Linked DNA regions of Callithrix jacchus. Each later gene encodes a partner of the first gene's protein in a complex. Links are inferred from orthologs where the notes say so. Each region holds a gene or a part of one and is shown on either strand. Other genes may lie near its edges.

What was found.
Region 2: the proteins of PPP2R2A (region 1) and PABIR1 are in contact, whole or in part, in a cryo-EM structure (PDB 8SO0), measured with the Homo sapiens proteins. The link is inferred for Callithrix jacchus from reciprocal best matches to the Homo sapiens genes PPP2R2A and PABIR1. Residues at the interface, in NP_002708.1 of Homo sapiens: Phe84, Leu87, Lys88, Ser89, Leu90, Tyr178, His179, Asp197, Met222, Glu223, Leu225, Thr226, Glu227, Val228, Tyr337, Asp340, Phe343; in NP_612206.5 of Homo sapiens: His81, Ser82, Ser83, Arg84, Leu85, Ile88, Lys89, Glu92, Arg99, Glu100, His103.
Region 3: the proteins of PPP2R2A (region 1) and IER5 are in contact, whole or in part, in a cryo-EM structure (PDB 8UO5), measured with the Homo sapiens proteins. The link is inferred for Callithrix jacchus from reciprocal best matches to the Homo sapiens genes PPP2R2A and IER5. Residues at the interface, in NP_002708.1 of Homo sapiens: Glu91, Ile92, Glu93, Glu94, Asp116, Tyr178, His179, Asp197, Leu198, Met222, Leu225, Thr226, Glu227, Val228, Thr230, Ser247, Phe280, Phe281, Glu283, Ile284, Ser287, Cys334, Tyr337, Glu338, Asn339, Asp340, Phe343, Lys345; in NP_057629.2 of Homo sapiens: Ala7, Arg9, Ile10, Ile13, Ser14, Lys17, Arg25, Gly26, Lys29, Leu30, His31, Lys32, Leu34, Leu35, Val36, Leu38, Val39, Leu40, Arg41.
Region 4: the proteins of PPP2R2A (region 1) and ARPP19 are in contact, whole or in part, in a cryo-EM structure (PDB 8TTB), measured with the Homo sapiens proteins. The link is inferred for Callithrix jacchus from reciprocal best matches to the Homo sapiens genes PPP2R2A and ARPP19. Residues at the interface, in NP_002708.1 of Homo sapiens: Lys18, Gly19, Ala20, Asp23, Asp24, Asp29, Ile31, Thr45, Asp47, Gly49, Arg51, Val53, Phe55, Val73, Thr76, Gln78, Glu81, Pro82, Glu83, Phe84, Leu87, Lys88, Ser89, Glu91, Glu93, Tyr178, His179, Asp197, Leu198, Asn221; in NP_001293124.1 of Homo sapiens: Lys42, Pro43, Gly44, Ser46, Phe48, Leu49, Arg50, Arg52, Leu53, Lys55, Lys58, Tyr59, Phe60, Asp61, Lys75, Pro93, Asp97, Leu98, Pro99, Pro103, Leu105, Val106, Ala107, Ser108, Lys109, Leu110, Ala111.
Region 5: the proteins of PPP2R2A (region 1) and RBL1 are in contact, whole or in part, in a cryo-EM structure (PDB 9C6B), measured with the Homo sapiens proteins. The link is inferred for Callithrix jacchus from reciprocal best matches to the Homo sapiens genes PPP2R2A and RBL1. Residues at the interface, in NP_002708.1 of Homo sapiens: Lys88, Tyr178, His179, Asp197, Leu198, Met222, Glu223, Glu224, Leu225, Thr226, Glu227, Val228, Ser247, Arg278, Ser279, Phe280, Phe281, Ser282, Glu283, Ile284, Ser287, Tyr337, Phe343; in NP_002886.2 of Homo sapiens: Ser615, Pro616, Leu617, Met618, His619, Pro620, Arg621, Val622, Val625, Arg626, Ser629, Leu632.

Annotation. Positions count from the first base shown.
Region 1 is NC_133514.1:15,258,227-15,264,061, reverse strand, and holds the start of PPP2R2A (serine/threonine-protein phosphatase 2A 55 kDa regulatory subunit B alpha isoform), read left to right. Parts: upstream 1-2,368; 5' UTR 2,369-2,679; coding exon 2,680-2,686; intron 2,687-4,528; coding exon 4,529-4,603; intron 4,604-5,835. UniProt on the Homo sapiens protein: Substrate-recognition subunit of protein phosphatase 2A (PP2A) that plays a key role in cell cycle by controlling mitosis entry and exit. Involved in chromosome clustering during late mitosis by mediating dephosphorylation of MKI67.
Region 2 is NC_133502.1:96,165,676-96,170,338, reverse strand, and holds part of PABIR1 (PPP2R1A-PPP2R2A-interacting phosphatase regulator 1), read left to right. Parts: coding exon 1-848; 3' UTR 849-4,663. UniProt on the Homo sapiens protein: Acts as an inhibitor of serine/threonine-protein phosphatase 2A (PP2A) activity. Inhibits PP2A activity by blocking the substrate binding site on PPP2R2A and the active site of PPP2CA.
Region 3 is NC_133519.1:39,362,806-39,368,664, forward strand, and holds IER5 (immediate early response gene 5 protein), read left to right. Parts: upstream 1-2,321; 5' UTR 2,322-2,532; coding exon 2,533-3,513; 3' UTR 3,514-4,488; downstream 4,489-5,859. UniProt on the Homo sapiens protein: Plays a role as a transcription factor. Mediates positive transcriptional regulation of several chaperone genes during the heat shock response in a HSF1-dependent manner. Mediates negative transcriptional regulation of CDC25B expression.
Region 4 is NC_133509.1:40,253,333-40,259,344, reverse strand, and holds the start of ARPP19 (cAMP-regulated phosphoprotein 19), read left to right. Parts: upstream 1-2,414; 5' UTR 2,415-2,466; exon of another isoform or gene 2,467-2,470; intron 2,471-2,700; 5' UTR 2,701-2,710; coding exon 2,711-2,755; intron 2,756-6,012. UniProt on the Homo sapiens protein: Protein phosphatase inhibitor that specifically inhibits protein phosphatase 2A (PP2A) during mitosis. Inhibition of PP2A is enhanced when ARPP19 is phosphorylated.
Region 5 is NC_133506.1:2,312,305-2,318,149, forward strand, and holds the end of RBL1 (retinoblastoma-like protein 1), read left to right. Parts: intron 1-2,221; coding exon 2,222-2,392; 3' UTR 2,393-4,324; downstream 4,325-5,845. UniProt on the Homo sapiens protein: Key regulator of entry into cell division. Directly involved in heterochromatin formation by maintaining overall chromatin structure and, in particular, that of constitutive heterochromatin by stabilizing histone methylation.

The DNA.
Region 1 (5,835 bases):
TGAGATGGACAAGAGCAACCCTTGACTGTGGCTCCTCTTTCTAAGGGCCATTCTGATGAAACAGAGGTGGTTTATGATCCTCTGACAGGGCTACCCAGTGCCTAAAAAGAACCAGATCACTTACACCAGGGTGCCAGGGCACACTGGCCCTTGATTATCAGGGCCATGTCAGCCCATTCCACAGGCATGTAGTACCCTCGAGGCTCCAAATCACGTTCTGAAAACAGCACCTGGAGAGTCTAGGATAGAACCACCAAAGAAGGGTTGAGCCAACGAACAGGAAAATAACTGAAGGCATATCCAGAGAAATACATTTATGAAAATACCAAAATTGAAGAAAATACATCATACAGTGCATTAAAGCTTTGTACCTGTTATATAGGTAGTCAAAAGATGACAGATAAAGGGTGGATTTTTGGTTTTGGCTAATTCATTTTGTACTTGTTATACAGGTAACCAAAAGATGACAGATAAAGGGTGGATTTTTGGTTTTGGTTAATTTATTCAGTTAATTCATTGGTTAATTCATTTCATGCAGGAATGGAGGAATGATCATGCAGTAGTGCAGTTGTACCTTTGGAGGAATTTCAGGTATTGTGTTACAGTTCCACTGTTTTAGAAATCAAGAATATGGTAGAAAGTGGAGATGGTGGGGGCTGGGCGCAGTGGCTCATGCCTGTAATCCTAGCACTTTGGGAGGCTGAGGCAGGTGAATCATGAGGTCAGGAGATGAGATCATCCTGCCTAACACAGTGAAACACCGTCTCTACTAAAAATACATAAAATTAGCTGGTTATGGTGGCGTGTGCCTGTAGTCCCAGCTACTAGGGAGGCTGAGGCATGAGAATCCCTTGAACCGGGGAGGCGTAGGTTGCAGTGAACTGAGATGGCGCCACTGCACTCCAGCCTGGGTGACACAGCGAGGCTCTGTCTCAAAAAAAAAAAGCGGCAATGGTGGAGAGGATGTATAAATACCTTAAACTCCCCCTTCTTGGTCTCCAAACGCCTTTCTCACTCCATTCAGCCTTAGGCCAAATTCTGGATGCTTTTGCAGGTGGTCTTCATGTGTAAAATGTGCATATCTATCTCCTAGGAGTATTGTGGAGATGGAATGAGATATGTAAAGTGTGCCGTATATAGCAACTGCATCATTAGAGCATCTTTCAGCAGAAGTGCACATCCCCTCTTAGCTGATGACTGGCATTTCCTGTTCATTTTTTTCCTTCTACCTCTTAACCTTACTGACGATGCTTTCAATACAAATCTAATAATAACGGCAACTAACATTTATCATGTGCTCAAATTAAGTCATTTCATCTCACCAACAATCCTATCAGGTAGGACTGTCATCTTCATCTGCTGAGCCTTGGAATCACATTAGACAGCCTGGCTTCAGAGCCCAGCTTTTTTTTTTGGTTTGGTTTAGATTTGAAAGGAATGCATTCTGTCGCCCAGGCTGACAGCTCACTGCAGTCTTGACCTGCTGGGCTCAAGCAGTTCTCCCACCGCAGCCTCCTGGTAGCTGAAACTATAGGCACGCCATCATACCTGGCTAATTAAAAAAAAAAAAAAAAATTATTTCTTTTTTTGGTAGAGATGGGTCTCCCTATGTTCTCCAGGCTGAACTTGGAACTCCTGGCCTCAAGTGATCCTCCCGCCTCTGGCTTCCAAAGTGCTGGCACTACAGGCCTGAGCCACCGCGCCCCACCCTGAGCCCAGCTCTTAAGCACGGATTCCACCATTGTTTATTTAGCTGGAGAGACCCAAGCTACTTCTCGGGCCATACCCTTCTCATCGCAAACTCAGGTTTCTGTTAGAAACCACCCTTAGTGGCCGCAGTGCCCAGGACTCCCGTCTTGGTTCCTGGGGCCCACGCGAAGGTCATTTAATTCACCCAGATGGAACCAGCCCAAGCGTGTCCCTCTGAACCCCGTGAACTTTCATCCCGGCTGAGCAGCGAGTCTGCACTGCTGTCCCTTCCTTTGTGGAGTCAGGGCTGGCGCAAAGCGACACTTTCCTAAGTAGCAATACGGGTATTCTCAAAAAAGGCACAAGACCCCAAGAATTCCTGCAGACGAGCACGTTAACTGGACAGCTGAGCCCGCCCCAGAGCCCCGGCGCTAGCGCGAGGGGCTGGGACACCGCGAGGCGCAGACAGCCGCGGCCCGGCGCAGGAGGAACGGGCAGAGGGGGCGCCACCGCGAGACGCGGGCGCGTCACAGGCCGCACCGGCCAGGACGCGGAGGGCGGGGCAAGAGCGCAGCAGGAAGGGGGCGTGGTCAGGAGCCCGCCCGGCCTCTCCCCCGCCCCTCCCCCTCTGCTCTCCGCCCAGCCCGGCGGCTCCGCCCCCTTGGTGACGTCACTGACCAGGCCAGCCGGCGCCATTTTGAAAGTGGAGTCGCCTGCCCCTGCCGCTGCCGCCGCCGCCGTCGCTGTCGTAGCCGCCGCCGCCGCTGCCGGAGAAAGAGCACGAGCGGGGAAGCCCTAGAGTGAAATCTAGCATCCTGCCGGCTGCTCTGCCCGCCCCTCCTTCCTTTTCCCCCAGCCCCTGTCCCCTCCCCCCGCAGGTGCCATCCGCCGCCATCCGCCCTCTCTACCCCCCCATCCCCAGGTGAGGGGGGTGAGTTCAGGAAGCGGAGACCCCGAGGAACCCCGCAGGGTCACCATTTGCAGCGCAACATGGCAGGTAAAGGAGAAATTCCCCTTGCCCCCTGACAAGGCACCGTTTCCTTCTTCCTCCCTCCATCACCCCCTAGCGACCGCCCGCGCCTTGCGCGGAGCCACGGGGCGCCCCTCGGGTTTGAGGGAGTGGGGTCCAGGGGGGTGGGGTGGAGGCGGGGAGGACTCCGGGGAGGCGAGTGGTCGCGGCGAGAGCCACTGGGCTTGGAGAACGGAGCTGGCGCCGTGGCGGGGGTGGGGGTGGGGTGTGCCGGCGAGCTTGGGGTGAGGCGTGGGTGGGGCGGGGTGGGGGCGCGTGCAGATTTGTCTCTCCCGCTCGGGAGCCGGGTGGATCCTCTCCTACCTCGCCCCCCGTCTTTATTTTCATTTTATCCTGCAGGTCTTCATTTAATTTCTATTTCCCCCCCTGCTGCAAACCTTCTTGGGTGTATATACACATTATTTTGCACTGAGAAAGAAGAGCGCCTTACAAGTTAAAATGCAGTGGGGCCATATGTGTCTTTTTTTTCCCCCACTGTGGATGCCAATATTTTTGAGATTGGAAGCCTAAATTTTTTGTTTCAAACCATTTCCTTTCCGTTTCTTTCCCTCTTACCACCGAAGAGTGCAAGGCCTTTCATGTACAGCAAGTTGCATGAAAAACATAATTTCAACTTTCCGTTTAACATGTTAGCTTTTTTGCAGATGTCCTTTTCCCAAAAGGGTTTGGTAGAGTTAGTTAAAATAGTTGCGGAGTTCAGAGATATAAATAGCAAAGAGGAGAGAGATTTAGGTAGAAGCTTTGGAGGGGGGGGGAAAGGATGTAGAGAGAAAACCAGTTTGGAAATAAATTTAGCAAGGAATAGGGGTGACAGGGGAGAGAGAAGTAATGTAATTGCTTTGAGAATTCTTTTTGTACATGTTGGTGTTGCTAAGTCTTTTCCTTCATGTAGTAGAATGGGTTCCAGATTTAGATTCAGTGTCTTTCTCCCTAGAGTCTCAGGACGTTTTCACCATTTCGTTCTCAGTACTTGCACGTGAAATAGAAACATTCCGAGATTAGACCAGTTTACCGTGCTGTATTCATTACTTAGAGAATTAAACCATTTGAAAAAGTTAACGTGTCGGATTGACTTACGGTTTGCTATAAAACAAGTTGCTTGTTGGCCGTGTTTAATGATGAAATGAGATTAAAATTGTTTTGCACGAGATGACATACTAGCGAAATGAATTATTTGCCAGGTCCTTCGGAGTGGAGGGCTGAGGTGAAGGGAGGCAGAACAGGCTTCCTTTGACAGTCTCTTTAGCAGCATTCATTTTGGTTTCTTTTCCTCTCTGTCTGGAGCCAGTGATTTGCTGGTAATGAATGCAAAGAAATGGGTGTAGTGTTTGCTGTGTGTGCACTTTGGTGATAGGGTTCATATGAATCATTACTCCTCACCCAGGCAGTAATGTTCCCGAAGTTTTCTCTCCGTTCTATGTTTCATGGTAGTTTAACCTTATTAACTCTTCTGCAGGTTTTTTGTACACTTAAAAAGAAAACTCTTTAACTCTTGGTATTTACACTTTTCTGGTAGGTCTTGCCTGAGTGTAAGCCTTTTAAGATATTTGAGAGGAAGGGAAGTTTGTGAACAGATGTATGATGACCACAGAACATACGCCTTTAAAGATTTCATACCTGGAACCTTTTTTTCTTTTTAATACAGTACTAACTATTGGGGACTAACCTTTTTCCAAAGTGGTGCTTTTGGTGGTGGTTGTATGTGTGGGCAAAACTAAGCTGTTAGTGTCATGATCATGCCAACCGTGGATTGTTTACGAGAGTCAACATGAGCAGAACTCAGTTTTAATTGGTATGTTTTCTTTCCAGGAGCTGGAGGAGGGAATGATATTCAGTGGTGTTTTTCTCAGGTGAAAGGAGCAGTAGATGATGATGTAGCAGAAGGTAAGAAAGCATTTAATAATGCAAAATTTGGATATATAATTTTTTCAGAAATCTTTCCTGAGGGATTTCCTTGAAGCCAAGACTATTAAAAATTCAAGATGATTTTGTGTTTATTGTCCAAGAAATGTAAGAACAGTTTTAAAAGTTACGTTTCTGAAATACAGCCTTAAGTTTCTTTTGTAATTTATGCCTTGTTTTTATTTTTTACTCTGAATTTACGTGAAAGGAGCGATAGATGATTAGACATATAGAATCGTCACATGAAAGCTCTGAGCTCCATATAAGGGTTTCTTTGTTATATAAATTCCACATAGAAATAAATGGTGATGCATTTTTGTGTTTGTACATTGTTTTTAGATAAGTAAATTGAAATAGGTGCCATCAACATTTGGCTCAGAAACATTCTTAGCAGCATCTCTAATTTTTATGGGAAGATTCTTAACCTCTCTTGACTTTGCCTGCTGTGGAATGTAGTGCTGATTGGCATAGTCTGTGAAGAGATGACAGCTCACATTATTCATTTTGTTGTCTTTCTGGTAATTAGGTGGATAAGACAGTAACTGCTATGCATATATCGCTTGTCTTCTAGAAAGCTTCTATTGCTGGTGCAGGTAGAAACTGTGTTTGATCAATTGAAGTACTTATGTCTAATTTTCTCCCCAAATTTGTTGACTGATGTGTTTCAGAAGTTTTATCTGAGTTTTGAAACTTCAAGGTTGTGCATTTATTTGAGATGGTCTTAGGCAGCAGAGGCATTTCCCATAAACTAGTTGCATTATTTCATTGCTCAGAAGTGTTAAAATTTGAGCTTTAATAGTATTCTGTGTCTTGAATTACAGTAGGAATTTTTCAAACAAAACTCAGATAAATTTAAACATGTACTTTTTGAGTTTTAAAAATTTGGTGAAAATGCACAAACTTTTTTCCCCTAGATTGTGTTGTCCTCATATTTCTGACCTGTCTGTAGAGTACTGTTTGTTTTGGAGATTTTTTTTCAGGTGGTGGGTGGTAGGAGATGGCTTTGCGTTTAGCCAGCCAAATGCGTTTATTTGCTTGTGTCAGTGTCATTCATAATGAAGTATCTGTTTTAGAGTGTGGTGAATCCTATGGGAAGCCAACTAGCATAAGCTATATTTGTCATATTTTGCAGAGCTCTCATGTTCTTTTCCTGTTGGATCCTCATCTGTTTCTTAGACAAGAAACCAGTAACAAAAGAGACTGACTGATGGTCA
Region 2 (4,663 bases), on another chromosome or scaffold:
TGGAGCTGCCTCCGGGTACGGGCGGGAGCCCGGCGGAGAGCGGCGGCGGCGGCAGCGGCGGCGGCGGCGGCGGGGGCCTCAGGAGGTCTAACAGCGCCCCCCTCATCCACGGCCTCAGTGACACTTCGCCGGTGTTCCAGGCCGAGGCGCCGAGCGCCAGGCGGAACAGCACAACGTTCTCGAGCCGCCACGGCCTGCTGCTACCGGCCTCCCCTGTCCGCATGCACAGCAGCCGCTTGCACCAGATCAAACAAGAAGAGGGCATGGACTTAATCAACCGAGAGACGGTCCACGAGCGGGAGGTGCAGACCGCAATGCAGATAAGCCACTCCTGGGAGGAAAGTTTCAGCCTGAGTGACAACGACGTGGAGAAATCCGCCTCCCCCAAGCGCATCGATTTCATTCCTGTGTCACCAGCACCGTCACCCACTCGGGGAATTGGGAAGCAGTGTTTTTCGCCATCCTTGCAAAGTTTTGTAAGTAGCAACGGATTGCCTCCAAGCCCTATTCCCAGCCCAACGACCCGATTTACCACCCGGAGAAGCCAGAGCCCTATCAATTGCATTAGACCAAGTGTTCTTGGACCATTGAAAAGAAAATGTGAAATGGAAACTGAATATCAGCCAAAGAGATTTTTCCAGGGCATCACCAACATGCTTTCTTCTGACGTTGCACAGCTGTCAGATCCTGGTGTGTGTGTATCTTCGGATACCCTTGATGGAAACAGCAGCAGTGCCGGATCTTCTTGTAACTCACCAGCGAAAGTCAGCACTACCACCGACTCTCCTGTGTCACCTGCCCAAGTGGCTTCTCCATTTATTCCACTAGATGAACTTTCGTCTAAGTGATTCATCTTGAGACTCTTTTTGCAGTGGAGAGAGAGAATAATCAAGTTGGAGCAAGCACTGAACTTTGTCGATTAATTTGAGGCTATTTCCTGTTTGACCCCTTTTCTTTTTTGATATTTCCTGAAATGATGTTATTCTAGAGAACTTCTATGTCAGGTTCCTGCGGATACCCTTGAATTCAGTGTAGTAATATTTTCAGACGTTTCCCCAATAAGTGTGTTAAAGCATACATCTTTACGCTGCTAATATGTCTAAATACATATGTTATCCCTTGATTTTTTTAAATAATTGAGAGCTCTATTTATTTATGGGATTATTAAGTTCTGATGAAAATATAAATGTTGACTTAATCAGCATAGTAAACTGATGTTAACAATTTCATACTTCATGCCCACACTAATTTTTAATGCTATTTTCAGTGGTTGCTGTTTTCCATTTGATGAAGAACAATAACTTGACTATACAGCTTTTAAATACTTTAGTTATAACATATCAATCTAGTGGTTGTCTGTTTTACCCAGGATTTCTTGGATATTTCGTTTTCTGGGTACAGAAGTGGACGGGAGGATAAATGATTAAAGAACAAATTATAAAAGTTTGCAACACATCCTTTCAAATTAACTGTATAAAAGTAAACATTTAAGAAAAACATTTTTTATGAAATTTTAATAGTAATTCTAGTCAGTCATACAAATACACTATAGAGAAAGTAAAAATTTTCCTTTTTTCTTTTTTTAACCAGAGAGTGCATTTGCTTGGGTGTAATCCTAAAGTGAGATGGGACAGTGCCTTGCAGTCTTTGCCCACTATACATAGGCTGAGGCTCTTTGTACTACTGAAAGTTAAAAGTTTTTGAAATGTAGAAAATGTGTGGAAAGGCTCGTTGAACTTCGGCGCACCCAGGTAAACAATACTCTCTCAATTGTTGATATACTTTAAAATATTCAGTTGTGCCTCAGTTCCAAAAATGATTGCCAACCAGGAGCCAATGCAATTTTTGGCTGCTTTTCTGCTCTACCCATCTGTCACTTTACTGGTTTTCCCTTGTTCAGGAAGAAAGCAGCTGTTTCCTTGCCAACAGGTCCTTCTTCTCCATATCCCACCAAACCAGGGCATCATTGATTAGACAAAGATACAGTGTAACTTGGATTTCTGACAGCAACAACAGGACTGAATTGTTTAACCTCTGTGGTTAAAGCTGCAGCTTGGTTGTCTGCCTTGGGGATGTCGGTTAATTAAGGGATGATGATTTGCAAGGGAAAATCAGTGGAGAGTCACATAGGTAAATCTTATTAACTTAGGTTTTGCTAAAGGTAGAATAGTCAAATGTTCTTTTCTTTGCCTTTACAATTAAGACAAAATAATAAGAATAGCAAATTTTTTTATATTATGCTTCCTTATACCTCATATATCTTCCTTAACTAGATAGTTTTACAGAAAGAATACAAAGAGTAAAGGGGAAAAATAACTCAGAACAACAACAAAAACAACAAAAAAGCTCTGATTTTTAAAGTTACTGCTTACGGAGACTAACAATTTTGTGGAATTTCTACAACTATGAGAATAAATGGAACTGGTCAACTCTTGACAGTTGCCTCAAGATGGAGTGAAATTACATTGAGGGTAAGACTGTCTACAGGCTTAAAATTTTCTCTGGGTGATAGTGTTCATGTGCTCCCATTCTCAACCTTGTTCTTTAAATTTAAACTTAAATATTCTGAGTTCTTGTTGAGTACCTTGCCTTGCTTCCAGAGGTATTTGAACTTCATTGTCTTCAACGCAGAAATGGTTAATTTTCTCACTTCACCTGTTCTTGCATTATCACAATTGATGTCATCACTAATATCCTAAGCTAGAAACCATGGAAGCCTCTTTGACTTTTCCTTTTCTCTGTTGGATTAGCTTAATCACCAAGTCCTGTCAACTTCTGAAATGAATTTCTTGCCTTCTCTTATCTGTTGCCCCTGATTTTGCTTAAGTTTCAGCCTGTCTTCTGTCTCCTTTTGGTTCAGTCTTCATACTACCTCTTGTGTAATCTTTCTAAAATTTAAACTTGATGTTTTTTCACTCTCTTGCTTGAAAACCGTTTTAAGGAATGGTTTCTTTAGCCTCAGATAGAAGTCCTTTATGATCTGGCTGTGTTCTGAAATAGCTCCAATCCTCTCCTCATCTCTGTCCCAGTATACATCTTCTTTCCTTCTTACGCTGCAAACGCTAGACCACTTGATATTCTTCAAGTATGTCATGTACTTTAATGTCGGTGCTCTGGGATAGATTGTTCCTTCTCCCTAAAATGCCATTCCTATCCTTTTCAGGCAGGCAAATTGCACGTGATTTTAAGTATGAAGGCAATGTATACCTACTGATTATAAAATATTTAAACAGTGTACATATCTGTGTTTTTTTTTAAGTTTGCTTTTAACTGTAAAATTCATCTTCCCTGTCCACAGGTAACTTCGGTTAGCAATTTGGTATGTAATGTACAAGGTGTGTTACTGGCATTTTCGTGTATATAAATGTAGGAAAACAACATGTCATTGACACCTCTCTTCTTTTCTTTCCGCCATATCTAATCATTCCTCAAGTCTTATTGATTTTATCAGCTAGAATCTATCTCCTTGCTTCTACCTCTGTTGCCACCCTGATCCAGGCTACCAGCATTAGGTCTCTTAGGTTTCTGAAGCAACTTCCTAACTCCCACCTGTGCCCATCACACTCGGCTATCCATCCGCTCTCCATATAGCGAGTAGAGCCATCCTTTTAAAATTGCAGAGCTGATCCATCTCCCAGCCGAAAGCTTTTCATTTTTTTCCTGTTGTTCTCATGAGTATGCCAAAATGTATGTATTCTGGGCTAGGAGGCCCTGGGGAATTTGGTCCTTCCCTCTTCCTCCCCTTGTTTTCTGTGCTTTACCCTCCCTGTCTTGCTTTTCTTTTCCTTAAATATATCATGTTCTCACCTATTTTAGATCCCTTTCCTTGAAGATATGGAAACATTTATTTCTGTAAGCTTATTCTATATAGTTGGTAAGTTTTTAAATCAGATGAGGTTCTAAGGGTATATGGACAATTTACATGATCATAGTATTGTTAATAACTTCATTCTGTAGAATGTAAGGGCTTAGCTCATGTGAGAATTATCCTTCAAAAAGCATTTTTAAGGTATTAGTATTGCTAATCTATAAACTTTGTGCAAGAAGTCCTAAAGCCAATAGCAACATTTATTTAAAGTACAGTTCGTCACATATAATAAACCTCTGTTATGTTTTCCTTTATTATGCTTTTTAAAAACACAGTGTAAATGGGAGAAATAATTAAGGATCATTAAATCCAAGGCTGCTGGATGTTAGGACCCTTAAGCGTATTTAAAAGATTGATTGTAATCAAGAATAACTTGTATCAGGTTGCCTTCCAGTGATTCACATTTATTAATTCAATAAGTTACATACCTATAGCAAGAGACCACTTGGCAATAAAATTGGGGAAAGAATTAAGACTTAAATGAGAATAACAGGTCTGAGAATATATTTTCTTCTGGGTATGTTTATAGATTAGTAGAACAATTTTGAAGATCTAACAGAGGTTGCGAATCAAGGGAATTGTTGCCAGACAATGAACCAAGATCTTGATGATTATTTCTTGAGTGGCACCAGAGAACAGAAGAAAGAGTTGGCCTTGGAAAGTAAGGTTTAATGAACCAAGATCTTGATGATTATTTCTTGAGTGGCAGCAGAGAACAGAAGAAAGAGTTGGCCTTGGAAAGTAAGGTTTAATGGAAACTTACTTTTCTTCTGAAACAGGAAGGAGAATGGAAAG
Region 3 (5,859 bases), on another chromosome or scaffold:
CTACCTTGTTCTATCCTCACAAAAACTCTAAGAGGTATACATTATTATTATCTTTATTTTTATTTTATTTATTTTTTTGAGACAGTCTTGCTCTGTCACCAGGCAGAAGTGCAGTGGTGCAATCTTGGCTCACTGCAACCTCCGCCTCGCAGGTTCAAGCAATTCTCCTGTCTCAGCCTCCCGAGTAGCTGGGCTAATTTTCTGTATTTTAGTAGAGACAGAGTGTCACCATGTTGGCCAGTATGGTCTTGATCTTCTGACTTTGTGATCCACCTGCCTTGGGCTCCCAACATGCTGCAATTACAGGCATGAGCCACTGCGCCCTTTATTTTATTTATTTTTGAGACAGAGTCTCACTCTGTTGCCCAGCTGGAGTCTAGTGGCGCGATCTTGGCTCACTGCAACTTCTGCCTCCTGGGTTCAAGCCATTCCCCTGCCTCAGCCTCTCCAGTAGCTAGAATTATAGTCGCCACACCCAGCTAATTTTTGTACTTTTTTTTTTTTTTTAGTAGAGATGGGGTTTCACCGTATTGGCCAGGTTGGTCTTAAACTCCTGACCTGAAGTGATTTGCCCACCTCAGCCTTCCAAAGTGCTAGGATTACAGGCGTGAGCCACTAGGCACAGCTGATTATCTTTATTTTTTAATTAAAAAAAAAGGCAGCACAGTGAAGTGAAATAATTTTCCAGAGGTCATGCAGCAAGTGAAAGGCAAATCTGGGATTCCAACCCAGGAAGACTGCCTCCACAGTCTGTGTTCTTAACCATTGCTTCATAGCAATGGTTAAGACCAATAACTTGCAAAGAAGAGAAAAGAGAAGAGAAAAATTCTTGCATTTTTACTCAATATATGCTACTTGGTTTTGTAATTATTTGTGACATTATTTTATCTCTTTCTCTATGTAAGCTGAAAATTCCTAGAGGGAAGGAGCTCTGGGGTCTCAGAGCTGCTACCTCAATTACCATCAATTGTGGGCACATCGCATCCCCTGGAGATTATGAATTGGTCATGATCAAGCCCACTCTTCACTGGTATTTTTCCTAAATAAATTCATTGCTTGGTCAACCCCTGGGGCAGGATCAGGCCCGGGGTTCCACATGGACTCCAAGAAAGCAGTGCTTAGTTTTCTCATTCAGATTGTGGCTGAGAGTTGTCATTTATCTTCTGTATAATAAAGCAGATGTGTATGTGACTTCCCCCTTTCCGCAGTGGAGACACTGAAGCGGCCTCAGGTTCTCAGGCAGGTCTGTGGTGGAGTTTGCTGGAACTAACTGGAACTGACTCTATGTTTCCAGTCCAGAACTCTGAGCAACCCTGTGGCAATTCTGCCCTAATACACTTATAAGGACCAGTAGATGGACTAAGGTGTTGACAGACCACAAAATTCTGGAACTCCCTTGCCCTGTATTTTTACCTTGACACAAAATGAAATTATGACATCATCATGGGAACACAGGACTTCTCTCTTTGTATTTTCAGAACTTGCTCGATTTTTCCAAGGGTACACTGGTCAGTCCTTGTAATGGAAAAAAAAAAAAATCATTGTGGAGAACCTGTAACACCTTCCACCTAACCTGTTTGATAACTAGCTTTGCTCTACAATCTGGAGAACAAAGTGAAAGATGCCAGCTTTAGACGACAACCAATAACTTTGTATCTAGACACAATTCCTTGATAAGCCAAAAAAGTAGCCAAAAACTTCTAGAATTCCCCTTTTCTTTAGGGTTAGAACTGACAGCTGCTAAGAGTGTATGTGACTCTATTAGGGAAAGCGGCTCGTCCAAAAATAATAACTGCCAAATACCGTGCAGTAATGCTATTTGTTATCCAGAAGTGTCCTACGCCGCGTATAGCCACCATCTCTATTTTAGAGTTGAGGGGGATGGCTCACAGGTGTGGCTGGCCTGGAAACCGTGGCGTGGCTGGTGAGGGCGGGGTCGATCACGGAAGGATCAGGACTTCATGGCAGAGCAGAGTCCACCACCACACTCGGATGAAAGTTCAAAGATTTTGTTCGCTTTGTTTCTGGCAAGCCATCACACAATCCTGAGTCTGTAACTCTAAACAGTAGCGCCCACGAGCACAGCCCCCGACCCGCACTCCCCCCGGCCCTGGTTGGCGGCCGCACACCCACACCGTAGCCCCCTTTAAGAGCCTGCTCCGCGGGACTAACGTTCGAACGGGCCCTGGCGCCCCTCCTCGGGCTCCGATTGGTCGTGCGCGGCGCACGAGGGCGCGCCGGCCAGCCTCAGAACGGCTGGCATCCCTTCGTGATTGGCGGTCGCGGAGCCTATATAAGGCACGGGACGGCCGGGCTGCCTTGTTTAGCGACCGGACCCGGAGCTGGGCGCTTGTCTGGTGTGGAGCGGCCAGCGGGACAGCGCGCGCGTCACCGCAGTCGTTTCTCTTCGGAGTCTTAGGCGATCGAGGGTGTACCCAGGGGCGGACTTGTTTGTGTTTCCCGTCCCCTCCCGGCTTCCGAACGTGACACCCCGTCACCCCGGCGCCGGCGGCCGTGTGCAGGGGACGCAGGATGGAGTTCAAGCTGGAGGCTCACCGCATCGTCAGCATCTCCCTGGGCAAGATCTACAACTCGCGGGTCCAGCGCGGCGGCATCAAGCTGCATAAGAACCTCCTGGTCTCGCTGGTGCTGCGCAGCGCCCGCCAAGTCTACCTGAGCGATCCGTGCCCCGGCCTCTACCTGGCGGGTCCCGCGGGGATCCCGGCGCCGCCGCCGCAGCAGCTCGGGGAGCCGGCAGCCGGGCCACCCGCCGGCTGGGGAGAGCCGCCCCCGCCTGCCGCCGGTGCCTCCTGGGCGGATACGGAGCCACAGCCGGAGGGCTCCGCGGTCTCAGAGGCGCCGCGGGTGGGGGACGCGGTGCCGGAGGCCACGGTGACCGGAGTCGGGGTCGTTCCTCAGGGCGGAGCCGCGGACGCGGCGAAAGCTGCCTGGAGCCGAGTGGAGGGGCCTCGCCAGGCGGCGGCCGGAGAAGCCGAGGGTCCCGCCGGAGGCTGGGGTGTTTTCCCCTTGGGGTCTCGTGCCTCTCGCCGCCCCTGCGGCTGCCCCCTAGGCGGGGAGGACTCGTCGGGTACACCGGCCGCGACCCCCCGCGCTGCCTGCTGCTGTGCGCCGCGACCCGCCGAGGACGAGCCTCCCGCGCCGCCAGCCGTGTGCCCCAGGAAGCGCGGCGCGGCGGGGGTGGGCGGCGGCCCAACGAGCTTCCCGGCGCCCGGCTCGACCCCGCTCAAGAAGCCCCGCCGGAACCTGGAGCAGCCGCCGAGCGGGGGAGAGGACGACGACACGGAGGAGATGGATACCGGGAACGTGGCTAACCTCATCAGCATCTTTGGTTCCAGCTTCTCGGGACTCTTACGGAAAAGCCCCGGGGGCGGCCGGGAGGAAGAGGAGGGAGAGAAGAGCGGTCCGGAAGCCGCCGAGCCCGGGCAGATCTGCTGCGATAAGCCGGTGCTGAGAGACATGAACCCCTGGAGCACAGCCATCGTGGCCTTCTGAGCCCCTGCCTCCGTGCGGGGAGGAGGTTGAGCAGCGGGCGTCCCCGAAGTGAGGGCCGGGACCCTCCCGGCTGCAGGGACGCCCAGAGACCGCAGGCGCTGAGCGCGTTGGGCAGACTGGTCGCCGCCGGGCATCGCAAACCGCCCCCGGGCGCGGGGGCCCTGCCGGCCCGGGACTCTCGAGGCTTTTCTGGAGACCAGGGAGCTTGAGGCTCATTGGAAGAGGACGATTGTTAACTTTTGTGTTTGTGTATGTCAGTGTGTGTAAGTTTGTCTTGTGGCATTAAGACTATTTTGTCCTTCTGGAATGCACCACTCCTTCCCCGGGGCTTACGAGACTGGGGGCAGACAGGGACTTTCCTCTGCCTACAGCGTGGAGAAGGAAGCGGCTAAAAGGTTTGGGCCGGGGAGTTCCCCATTCGTTCTCCGGAGAGCGAGGGACTTTACACCCACCCCTCACCGGAAAGCTAGACCCGCTTCAGGGCCAGGAGTGGCGTTTCCGCACAGGATTTCCTAAGACGAGAGGGATTTTAGCCACGAGCACCGACTTGAATTCCTTCCCTCCCTCCCCACTTTTCTTTCCCAATGAAGAAACGCTTATGTCCTGTGATTACTCTAGGAAAGGGGAGTATTAACGGCCCTTCGCTTCCCCGCAGGGGTGAAAAAGCTTGATGAACTTCACAGAAGAGTTCAAGCTTGGAAATACGGAGTTTATAGAGAAAAGATATATTTTTAAAAGCTCTAGGTCAGAACTACTACACAGTGCTTTTAAAAAGTGTTTAATGAAAGTTTACAGACAGAAGCCCTAAGTGAAAAGACCTTATGGTTTTGTAGATAAGGTGACTCCAGTCTTTGTTGTATAAAGGTTGGGGGAGCTGATAAGGTTTTTGTACAGTATTTTCTCCTTCGTTGTATTGATTTTTGTATAAAAATGTAACTTCTACGTGTCTAACACGTATTAAATATTTTGAAGCAACGTAACTGCCTCCTTGTCTGTAATAACCTGCCTGGGTTGGGAGGGAAGTGGGAGGAGGGAAACCAGGGCCTGTGCTAGAAAATTGAAGGTGTGGTTCTTGGTATCAGTCACTCGCAGACTGAGGACATTGTTTACTGACTCCACCAAGTATCAAGAGAGACACGTTTAGTTTTTTCTTCTAGATCAGAGGGCCGCTATTAGATAGTAATATCACCGACCTGCCAGGGTCTTGAAACCTGCCATTACAACTGCCTTTTGTAAGGTCAGTTTAGGCCAATTTGACTGTCACCAATACATGGGTGTCCATTTTATTAAGTAATTTAAGCAACTTTTGAAGCCCTGCTCATCCACAAAAATGTTTTTCAGCTTAGTTTCCTGTTATATGGATCATCTTTTCGCTTTATTATTGAAAAAAATTTAGATAGTAGTAGACCTTAAAAGCCTGATGCAACCGACATAGGAAGCTGAAAGAGACTGACTTGTCCAAATTGTCAGGTCCCCCTCTGCATCTCAAAGGGTGTCAGGATGTAAATGTTCAGTTTTTCTCATCTATAGAAAGGAAATGTATAGGTGAAAGGGAAACTGCATCAAACGAGATAAGGAAGGAGGGCATTCTCATTTAGCAAAACTTCCTGATTTGTTTTTGTTACTCAAAAGGTGACATCAGTGTTTGTGTCATGGTAGAAACTTAGGTGATGACAGCCAAAACATTCATTGATTTTACTAAAATCACTGTCATTAAGAGAGCTTTCTGTCTCTTCATCTTCAGTGTTTGAAAGGTATTCAATTTATTTCAGAAGCAAACCGATTAGGGAATGTTTATTAAAATACGGTACAGTTGCCAGGACTTCTTATGGTACTGGTTTCTAACAATTTATGAGTAGGGTGTTTAAAAGATGGGAGAGATTGAAGAAAGAGACAAAGCTTTAAAGGTCATAGCCTTCGAGCATAAGAAACATGAATGGTGCATTGGCCTTAACTGTGAATTATATGAACTTCTGTCATAGCTGAATAGGCCAGTGCCTGGTGCCTTGATATTTCGGCAACTCTATTAGCAGTCACTTAAGCCTAGGGACCTTTCTACTTCATGCTCTGTCACCAGCATAATGTGTTTATAGAACTAACATTCTCAAAGTAGGATCTTGTTAAATCGACTTTTTCTTTCAGAAAGTAGCTACTTAAATGCTGTTATGGCTATGAAAGATCCATCAAGTGCTGACTGCTTAAACTGAAGAAGGTGTCCAGCGCCTTAATTCTGCAAACATTTCCTGTTGCTACAAAGTATGATGCTTGAACAGCAATTTCAGTGTATTTTATGTTTGAAAGGGGGTAACGTGGTGTGTTTAAGAGAGCTGATGTGTTTTGGATGAG
Region 4 (6,012 bases), on another chromosome or scaffold:
CTATGGATGCAAGGTTGCCAGAAACCTTCAATTTGTAAAAACCGTAGTACCTAGGAAGTACAATAAAATGAAGCCCAAAAAAATAAGGTATGCCTAATGGCAGCTGAAACTATGACTGTCCACTAGGCATAGTGGCTCAAGACTATAACCCCAGCATTTTGGGAGGCCAAGGCAGGTAAAGCACTTGAGGCCAGGAGTTTGAGACCAACCTGGCCAACACAGCAAAACTCCATCTCTACAATTATTATTATTGTTATTTTTTGAAACAGAGTTTCACTCTTGTCACCCAGGCTGGAGTGCAATGAAAGGATCTTGGCTCACTGCAACCTCCACCTAGTAGGTTCAAGCAATTCTCCTGCCTCAGTCTCCCAAGTAGCTGGTATTACAAGTGCCCACCACTACACCCAGCCATTTTTTGTATTTTTAGTAAAGACGAGGTTTCACCATGTTGGCCAGGCTGGTCTTGAACTCCTGACCTCAAGTGATCCTCCTGCCTTAGCCTCCCAAAGTGCTGGGTTTACAGGCATGAGTGACCACACCTGGCCTACAATTATTAAAAACGCAAAAATTAATTAGGCATGGTGGCAAATGCCTGTGTTCCCAGCTACTTGGGAAGCTGAGGCAGGAGAATCGCTTGAATCTGGGAGGTGGAGGATGCAGTGAGCTGAGACCATGCCACTGCACCCTAGCTTGGGTGGCAGAGTAACACTTTGTCTCAAAAAACAAAAACAAAGACTATGAAGGTGGAAGTTATTTCCTGGAGGCCGTGTAAACCTAGAAGAGAAGAGGATCCAAGGACGGAACTGTTAGAATCCTCCCATTAAGAGGCAGGTTAAGATTCAACAAGGAGATTAAGCAGGAAAGGCCAGAGAAGTAGGAGGAAATCCATGAGACCAGAGTATCCTAGAGGCCAAGAGAAGGGACTTTTAAGAAACAGGGTGTCGGAGACCAGAGTGCCGTTTAACACATTAAGGTTCATAATGATGCAGAGCGGTGTTAGTTGGGAAAGAATGGCTTTCCAGACAGGTCCTCAAAGTGGAGTGTTGCCCATGGTAAATTCTCCATTTGACCAAAGTCTGCACCCCAGAAATTCAAACTTGCCCCCCTGCGAGTGTCACAATCAGAAACAGATTCTTTTCTTCCAAGGTCGCATAGCCAATTTAAAAAAAAAAAAAAAAGGCTGAGCGTGCTGGCTTACACCTGTAATCCCAGCATTTTGGGAGGCCAAGGTGGGTGGATCACTTGAGGCCAGGAGTTCAAAATCAGCCTGGCCAACATGGCGAAACCCCGTCTCTACTAAAAATACAAAAAATTATCCGGGTGTGGTGGTGGGTGTCTGTAATCCCAGCTACTTGGGAGGCTGAAACAGGAGAATTGCTTGAACCCAGGAGGCGGAGGTTGCAATGAGCCGAGATTGCACTACTGCACTCCAGCCTGGGTGACAGAGTGAGACTCTGTCTCAAAAAGAAAAAGAAAATAAAAGAAAGTTTTTTGTTGTTGTTGTTGTTGTTGTTTGTTTTTAATTGAGACGGAGTTTCACTCTTGTTACCCAGGCTGGAGTGCAATGGTGCGATCTTGCCTCACCGCAACCTCCGCCTCCTGGGCTCAGGCAATTCTCCTGCCTCAGCCTCCTGAGTAGCTGGGATTACAGGCACACGCCACCATGCCCAGCTAATTTTTTGTATTTTTAGTAGAGACAGGGTTTCACCATGTTGACCAGGATGGTCTCGATCTCTTGAACTCGTGATCCGCCTCGGCCTCCCAAAGTGCTGGGATTACAGGCGTGAGCCACCGCGCCCGGCCCAGAAATTTTTTTTTTTTTTTTAATTGCAGGACTTGGCAATTCAATTGGGCTAGCAGTTTCGGTAAAGTGGTGGGAGTGGACCCCCTGGGAGTGGACAAATGAATCTGTATTCCTTCGTTAGATATCTAGGAAGTGCTGGACCCTCAGAGTAAAATGTAAGTAATTACAGACGAGATCCCTGCCCTGGTGCGGCTTATCTGAGCAGGAGAGGTAACCTAAAGTCACAACAATTGTCTGATACAGTTCGTGTTGTTGAGGAACTGTTCAGGGCTGTGACGGCCTTTAAGAGGTGGCTCTGACCTAGTGCAGAGGCTTAGGAAGGAAAGGTTCTGAGGCGGAGACGCGGGTCCGAAGATGTGAAGGCGTGGCAGAATGGAGGAAGGAGCTTTGATGGGCCCAAAAGACAGCCTGTGTGGCTACGGTGCAGAGAGCAAAGAGAACCGAAAACCAGGCAAGGCTGGGGAAGTAGAAACAGTAAAGCTCCTAGAACCAGGGGGCCAGAGTGGACAGGAAAGGGCGGGGAGAGGCGGCTCCACTTAGAAACTACAATTCCCAGGAAGCATTCGGAAGCCACAGACGGATGTGAGGTGAAGCGGGAGCCGCGACCTTTGAAGGAAAAAAGGAAGTGCTTGGACGACAGCGAGCGGGAGAAGCGGGGTCAAGTAGGTAGGGGCGCGGCGCGAGACGGGCAGGCGGGCTTCGGCGAGCGGAGGCCTCGACGGGCAGAGCGCCCCACAGCTTCGTGTCATCATAAAACTGCCGCCATTTGCGCGGGCAGAGGCGGCCCGGCGGGCGTTGGGAGAGCTGGGCCGGGCGACAGGCGGGCCCAAGGCGGCGGCGGCCCGGCGGCCTCGGCCACCCGCTAATTCCATCTTTTCCCGGCGTCTCGTCTGCAGAGGGAGCAGTATGTCTGCGGAAGTCCCCGAGGCAGCCTCCGCGGAGGAGCAGAAGGTGAGTGCGCGGGACGCGGGCCCTGCCCAGGGTCGGGTCTGGCGGGCGGCCTGTTCGCGCCGGGCGGAGGGGCGCGCCCGGGATGCGGGGCCGAGGCACCTGCGCCTCACTGTTGGCTTCCCGCCGTCACTGGCTGGTGATGAGCGCCGACTAATTGGGAATTCCAACGTGCCCCGCGTTTTCTCCGAGTCGTGCTTTTTCCAGCGCCTCCGTGGGTCGGGTGTTCAGCAGTCACTTAGATTTACGCGAGAGCCCAGGACACAGCCCTTGGGCGGAGAGCCGAAGTTTTTCAGCGAGCTTCAGTTTGCTTAGGAAGTTTTATTTTTTTTTCCTTTGAAGAACTCTCCAACTACTTGTAAGCTTGCGGTTCACTCCAAAGGCAGTGCCTCGTGAGCGGGTCACGACGTGGGCCGGGATTGGCATTTCAGGGCCAACCGGTGTAACCACCGTGTCTTCACCTGTAAAGGCCGAATACTAGCGCTTGCTTCCCCTGGCGGCGGTGAGGCCTGGAGGAGGTCAGGCACGTGTCAGTGTTAAGCGCAGTCAGAGTCCAAAAAGGTTTCCGTCAATGGGACTCACCTACGGTACTTGACTAAAAATCGAAACGGTGGAATTTAAAAAATCGCGCCATTGCACTCCAGCTTGGGTAACAAGAGCGAAACTCCATCTCAAAAAAAAAAAAATTTTTTTTTCTACTCACGAAATTAATCAGGGTTTTATTGGCAACATGAGAATATTTTCTAGACGCATTTCTGTCTTGATGTAGGGGAATAGGCCAAGAGTGTCAGACTGGTTCAAATTACGAACATAAAGGATTTATCTTCATCTAGGCTAGCGTTTGTCTCTCCCATTATAATTATTTCCGCCGCCCTGCCCTCTTGGGTTGGTGTGACTGGCCGAGAAGTGAGAAAGGGCCTAGGTATCTTGTTTCCTAATAAACAATTTTTCTTACAAGTCAGGTTGTGTTGTCGTAAAGTACGATTTTGGTCTAATGTTTGATCTTCGTGCGGGTTTCTGCTTAATGTTTCACTTGTCCTCATTAGGTTGGGAATTGGGTTAGTTTTTTAAGCCCATTCCATGTTGTTAAAACCGTGTTAACTTGAGTTGTGTGGTTCTGTTAGGATGTTAAGGTAATTGAAGGGAAAAAACAAGAAAACAATAATAGCATAGATAATAGCCTAAGTTACCACATTATTTGAGAATATCCAGTGAAAATAGATATTTTTACACATTGCCAAAAAAAAAAAAATTGGGGGAACAATGCAAATATTAAGGATTGCAGTGTTAACAGTAGTATTAAGCATCAGCTGCTTATTGTAAAATGTTTGTGTTCATTATTGCTTGAAATTTAGCAACCCTCAAAAATAACAAGTCCCTATCCTGTGGTGTTTTGCCTTAAACACTGACATCAAACTTAGCATTAACTTAAGGTGCACAATAGTGTGCTATGTAATTTCCTTTGATAAGTTCTGTTAGTATGTTGCCAGAGGATGCAGTGTTGATTTCTAGAGTGTAAAACTTTGACTTGGAAAAGCCTAATGTATCTTTTAACAATATTAAGGGTAGCTCAAACGTTTTTCTTACTGTCTACATTAAACATTTAAGGTGTTTTGGCTTTAGCTGCTGTCATTAAAACCAACCAAAGTGTGTTAGGAATATCATGTTCCTTCTTAAATTGAGGATTGGCTGTAAATGCTAAGTGTCTGTGGCATGGATAGTGTCCCTAACTGTGAAGAAAATGTGCAAAGTCACTTCTATGTGCTGTTGGCCAAATCACCTTCTCTTTGGAAGATCGGTTTGATGACCTAAAAAATTGAGTTATTGTCTGTATACCCAATTGACCTTCCACTTAAAGCCAAACTATTCAGCTAAAAATACCTTTATAGTTTACTGGTTGCCTGTTGCCTCTGAAGAATTAAAGTAGATAGCTGGGCCCTCATGGAGTGAAAGCTAAGTCACTTTCTCTATATTGAGTAGCGTGTGCACCCTTGGTAAGAGGAGAAAACCAGATTCCTATTTTGTATTAGGATGCAATTAAATATGTACAAACATAAAAAATAAGTATAATTACTTGTAAACCACTCTAAAACTAAAACAGCCAGGCATGGTGACTCTTGCCTATAATTCTGGCACTTTGGAAGGCTGAGGCAAGAGGATCGCTTGTGGCTAGGAGTTTGAGACCATCCTGCTCAACATGGCAAGGTTTTGTCTCTACAGAAAATAAAAATTAGCCAGCTGTGGTGACATGCTTGTAGCCCTGTAGTCTTAGCTACTAGGGAGGCTGAGGTGGAAGGATCACTTGAGACCAGGAGTTTGAGACTACAGTGAGCTACTTTAAAAATATTTTTAAAAATTTAATAAAAGGCCGGGTGCTGTGCCTCATACCTGTAATCTCAATACTTTGGGAGGTCAGGGCAGGTGGATTACTTGAGGCCAGAAGTTGGAGACCAGCCTGGCCAACATGGTGAAACCCTGTCTGTACTAAAAGTAAAAAATTAGCCAGGTGTGGTGGCCCGCACCTGTAATCCCAGCTACTTGGCTGGCCGTGGCACAAGAATTGCTTGAACCCAGGAGGCAGAGGTTGCAGTGAGCTGAGATCATACCACTGTACTCCAGCCTGGGCAACAGAACAAGATTCTGTGTCAGATAATAAATACCAGGTGCAGTGCCTCACGCCTGTAATCCCAGCACTTTGGGAGGCCGAGGCGAGTGGATCACAAGGTCAAGAGATCGAGACCATCCTGGTCAACATGGTGAAACCCCGTCTCTACTAAAAATACAAAAAAAATTAGCTGGGCATGGTGGCACGTGCCTATAATCCCAGCTCCTCAGGAGGCTAAGGCAGGAGAATTGCCTGAGCCCAGGAGGCGGAGGTTGCGGTGAGCCGAGATCGCGCCATTGCTCTTCATCCTGGGTAGCAAGCGAAACTCCGCCTCAAAAATAAATAAATTTTAAAAAATAAATAAAATAAAAGTTGTCCGGTGTGGCCCTGTGGCTCATGCCTGTAATCCCAACACTTTGAGAGACTGAGGTAGACAGATCACTTGAGGTTAGGAGTTCGAGACCAGCCTGGCCAATATGGTGAAACCCCATCTCTACTGAAAGATACAAAAATTATCCATGCATGGTGGCGCGCACCTGTAGTCCCAGCTACTCAGGAGGCTGAGGCAGGAGAATCGCTTGAACCCAGAAGGTGGAGGTTGCAGTGAGCCAAGATCACTCCACTGCACTCCAGCCTGGGCAACAGAGTGAGACTC
Region 5 (5,845 bases), on another chromosome or scaffold:
GAGGTAGTTTAATCCATTATTATTGACATGGTCTTTGTGGAGTTCACTTTGAAAGTCCCCAGCATGTTTCTCTGTTCAAGCAAGATCTTGAAAAGGGACCAGTAAGGCAATACCTGCACGTGGTCAGACATGGGGCATGATGTCAAGTGTAAAGAAAGGTGTTGGATGTGAAAGTGCATTTAGTGGAGGGTAACCAGGAAAATGTCTAAAAACAGAAGCCTCCTCTTATGTGCATAGACAACTCTGTGATTATCTCCATCCTTATCCCTGTTCAACAATGAAGATGTGATGGACATAATTGCTGTTTTCACATACTTTATGGACTATCAAGCAGATATGTTCAGTATGTTTCCAGAAGTCAAAATCAGTATAAACTGAAAGAAATTGTAGTGGGGCACATTGTAACTCAGTCCAAATACAGTGGCTGCTTCTTAACTCATTACTTTGTTATTCAGTTACACAGATACCTATAGAGTTCCTACTATACTTGATAAAGTTGACTAGGATAATATACCTGACTGGGCATAGTGGCTCAAGCCTATAATCCTAGCACTTGGGGAGGCCAAGGCAAGGATTGAGCCCAAGAGTTGAAGGGCAACATACCAGGCCGCCATCTGTACAAAAAAATTTTTAAAAGCAAAACAATTATCTGGGTTTGGTGACATGCACCTATAGTCCCAGCTACTCAGGAGGCTGAGGTGGGAAAATCACTTGAGCCCTGGAGGCTACAGTGAGCTGTGATTGCACCACTGCACTCTGACCTGGGTGACAGAGTGGAACCCTGTCTCAAAAAACAAAAAGATTCACTTCTTCATGGACTTATATTTCTTCCTTTTGCAAATTTATTTCCCATAAGGATGTTCAGAAGAGATTGCTGCATGGAGTCAAAGATTGACTTGACTTCTAAGACAGTGATTCTGAAATCATGAATCAGAATCACCTGGGGAGCTTGTTGAATGCAGATACCTGTCCCACAGACCTTGTGAATAACAAATCATCAGCTAGCAGGTCTAGGACTCTATGACATGCTCCCTATAATTGTTATATACGTGGATTTCAAGAACCACTTCTCTGCAACCTTGTTACTCAGAGTATGGTTCATGGACCAGCAACATCAGGATCACCTGGGAGCTTGTGAGAATTCCAAAATCTCAGGCCCTACACCAGCCCTACTAATTTTGAATCTGCAGGTTAACAAGATCTTTAAATAATTAGTAAGTGCATTAAAGGTTGAAAAGCAGCTAGGCGAGGTGTCTTACACTTGTAATCCTAGCACTTTGGGAGGCCAAGAGGGAAGGATTGCTTGAGTGCAGGCGTTGAAGACTAACCTGGGCAACATGACGAAACCCCGTCTTTGCTAAAAATACAAAAAATTAGTCAGACATGGTGGCTCACGCCTATAATCCCAGCACTTTGGGTCCCAGCACTTTGGGAGGCCAAGGCAAGTGGATCGCCCTAGGTTGGGAGTTCGAGACCAGCCTGACCAATATGGTGAAACCCCATCTCTACTAAAACTACAAAAAAAATAGCCAGGCATGGTGGCATGCACCTGTAGTCCCAACTAGGGAGGCTAAGGCAAGAGAATCGCTTGAATCCAGGAGGCAGAAATTGCAGTGAGCCAAGATTGTGCCCTGCACTCCAGCCTAGGCAACAACAACAAAAAAGCTTCTGCTGCTTCTAGTCTGGGTACTACGCATTGAGAACTACTGTTCTACAGTAAATTCAAATTTTTTTTTTTTTTTTTTGAGACAGGGTCTCATTCTGTTGCCCAGGCTGAAGTACAGTGGCATGATCACTGCTCACTGCAGCCTCCACCTCCCCAGGCTCAGGTAATGCTCCCACCTTAACCTCTTGAGTAGCTGGGACTACAGGCACAAGCCACCACACCTGGCTGATTTTTGTATTTTTTATAGAGACTGGGTTTGCCCTGTTGCCCAGGCTGGTGTCAAACTCCTGGGCTCAAGTGATCAAACCATCTTGGCCTCTCAAAGTGCTGGTATTATAGGCCACCACACCTGGCCTTAAATCTGATTTTTTAAACTATCTGAAAAGATTAGTTCTAGCCATCCCTTATTAGGTTGTTCTAACTTTAAAAAAGAATCATTATCCCATTGTTAAGATTTGGATAGAGGATAGAGCGCAGGAAAAAACAATTAACTTGGTTGTTTGCTGCCATTTTCCCTCTCCTTCTTTTATTCACACACTTTCTGTTTCTGTACAGAGTTTGAAAGATATCAACAACATGATAAGGCAAGGTGAGCAGAGAACCAAGAAGCGAGCAATAGCCATCGATAGTGATGCAGAATCCCCTGCCAAACGTGCCTGTCAAGAAAATGATGATGTTTTACTGAAACGACTACAGAATGTTGTCAGTGAGAGAGCAAGTCATTAATGTTGTTGTTTCTGTGATAAAAGCACTTTCAGATCATTCTGCAGAAAGTTGGAGCTCTGTCCTTCAAACCTTTTTGGCCCTATAGATGGTAAATATCACTGGGTTATAAGAAAAAATTGCACAAAAATTATGTGCTTTTAATACCCAAAATGTGGTTGACAGAGATGTATTTTAAGTTGGATTGGAAAGGAATATTTTAAGTGCCTTTTAAAAATATTAATAGTCAAGGAATTTTTTTTTTAATGTGTGCTCCTTGGGTTAGTTTTCAAGATGAAATAAGGAGAAACCCTGTAACTTTTTAGCTCTCTTTTAAAAATAAATGTCTCCTTCTTCTGAGCTTTGTAATATGAGGATAAATAATCTACTTTTGGTAAGCATGCTTTCAGATATTTGTATTCTCAATTTAATTGAAGGAGAGGGTTGGTTCCCAGAGTACCTGAGCCAGAGGGTGATGTACCAGCCTGTCTCTGGCCCACTGTGGTAATTACACATCCAGGTGCCACCACCATTCAGGGTTGTCTCACCCCTTCTCATGCCTTTTCTCTCCTTGAGCAAAAGCAGATTTGCACCTGAGCCCCAGTGCTACCCTTATCCTTGCTTTTAAGCCCTAAGCCATATTAGCCTGATGTTACAAACCAAAAAATGGGCTACTTTTTCTTTTGTAAACTATCATTTTGGTTTCTGTGGCATTAACTTAATCATGCATGATCGCGTTAACTCATGTAGTTCTCAAAATTGGCAGCTGCTTCTCAACCCAGTAGAATAAAATTCAGTTAGTTATTAAAAGCTAAATTTCCTGTTAGTAAGGTAACATCTTGATGATGTATGGTATACTATTTTTCACATCGTACTATCAGTCATGTCTAATTGAGTCCCTAAGAATATTTGAAAACGTTTAAAAAACCACATAAATATCATCTCATGCCTCATAATTCTAATATATTGAATACATCAGTAAAACAGCTGATTATTACTTCCCCCAACTTTGTTCTCAGTATTATTAGTGCATCATGAGTTTCCTGCTAGTGTTTGACCACTGGGTACTCCCGAAGATGTTTTCCAGTACTAGGGATGCAGCTTTCCAAAATATCACCTCTTTAACATTTACTTTTTCTAATATGTGTCCAGAATCCAGAGGGTATGGATAAGCCATTCATAGTTTATTTTGAGAACTTTTATCAAATCTTTATGTTTCTAACTGCAAACCTTAATTTTTGAAAGGCACAATGTTTAACTCACCTGTTTTTAACCAGGCTAATTTAAAATAGTCTAAGATTTGGCTGTCACTAATTAGTATTCTCAAGAATTTTATTTTTCTATTTTTAAGAAGAAAAGGGATTTTGGTCACATTTTGCTTGTAAATGAAAATTACATCCTCATTCTTTGTGTAGTATCTACACATTGTTATAAGCCAAATAACAAAATCTGTCTTGAATCCTTGTACATATTTGTATGTCGCCATAACTGTTGTATCATTTTTATCTTCATTATTATGCAAAATGTAAATGAGCATTTGTACATTGACTGTATAAGAAACCCTGGGCTGGGTGCTGTGGCTCATGCCTATAATCCCAATACTTGGGAGACCAAGGGAGGAGGATTGCTTCAGTCCAGGAGTTCAAGACCAACTTGGGCAACATAGTGAGCCCTCATCTGTACAGAAAAATTTAAAAATTAGTTGGGCATGGTGGCATGTGCCTGTAGTCCCAGCTACTCAGGAGATTGACAGGAGAGGATCACTTGAGGCCAGGAGATTGAGGCTGTAGTGAGCTGTGATTACACCACTACACTCCATCCTAGGTGAGAGGGTGAGACCCTGTCTCAGAAAAGAAAAAAAAAAGAAATTCTGGACATGTTTTACCATTTTCAGGACTTGCTATCAATGTACATAAAATGGCTAATAAAAATTGGAATTGAGATTATTGAAAAAAACTATTTTTTATATGACTAGAACCAATTATACAGCCATCTAAAATCTGTCTTTTTAAATACCTACTTATGTCTTTAAGTTTTCTTAGTCTAACTTAATGGTTCCTGTGATTTCCAGGGTCTAGGGGGAAAACAAAAAATAACTGCGTAATGAATATAGAGTTTTTTGGGGGGGAGTGATAAAACTGTTTTGGAACTTGATATAGGTGGTATAGTTGCATAACATTGTGAATTTACTAAATGCCACTGTATTGTACACTTTAAAATGGTTAATTTTGTGTTATGTAAATTTCACCTTAGTTTTTTTTTAAGTCTTAGATATTATATTAGTCTGTTTTCACACTGCTGATGAAGACACATCCAAGACTGGAAAGAAAAAGAGATTTAATGGACTTACAGTTCCACGTGGCTGGAAGGCCTCACAATCATGGTGAAAGGCAAGGACGAGCAAGTCATATCTTACATGGATAGGGGCAGGCAAAGGGAGAGCTTATGCAGGGAAACTCCCATTTTTAAAAGAAACAGATCTTGTGAAACACATTCATTCTGGTCACCAGAACCGCCCAGGAAAGACCCGCCCCCACAATTCAATCACCTCCCACTGGGTTCCTCCAACGACACAGGAATTGTGAGAGTTACAATTCAAAATGAGATTTGGGTGAAGACACAGCCAAACCATATCATTCTACCCCTGGCTCCTCCTCCCAAATCTCATGTCGTCACATTTCAAAACCAATCATGCCTTCCTAACAGTCCCCCAAAGTCTTAACTCATTTCAGCATTAACCTAAAAGTCCACAGTTCAACATCTCATCTGAATCTGAGGCAGTCAGTTCTATCTATGAGCCTGTAAAATCAAAAGACAAGTAAGATACTTCCTAGCTACAATGGGGGCACAACCACTGGGTAAATATAGCCATTTCAAATAAGAAAAACTGGCCAAAACAAAGGGGCTACAGGCCCCATGCAAGTAAGTCTCAAATCCAGCAGGGCAGTGAAATCTTAAAGCTCCAAAATGATCTCTTTTGACTCCATGTTTCACATCCAGGTCATGCTGATGCAAGAGGTGGGTTCCCATGGTCTTGGACAGCTCCACCTCTGTGGTTTTGCAGGGTACGACCTCCCTCCTGGCTGTTTTCACAGACTGGCATTGAGTGTCTGCAACTTTTCCAGGCACATGGTACAAGTTGTCAGTGGATCTACCATTCTGGGGTCTGAAGGACAGTGGCCCCCTTCTCACTGCTCCACTAGGTGGTGCCCCAGTAGGGACTCCATGGTGCCTCCAACCCTACATTTCTTTTTCACACTGCCCTAGCAGAGGTTCTCTATGAGAGCCCTGCCCCTACAACAAACTTTTGCCTGGACATTAGGCGTTTTCTTACATCCTCTGAAATCTAGGCAGAGGTTCCCAAACCTCAATTCTTGACTTTTGTGCACTCACAGGATCAACACTACATGGAAGCTGCCAAGGCTTGAGGCTTGCACACTCTGAAGCCATGACCCTTTCAGTCACAGCAGGAGTGGC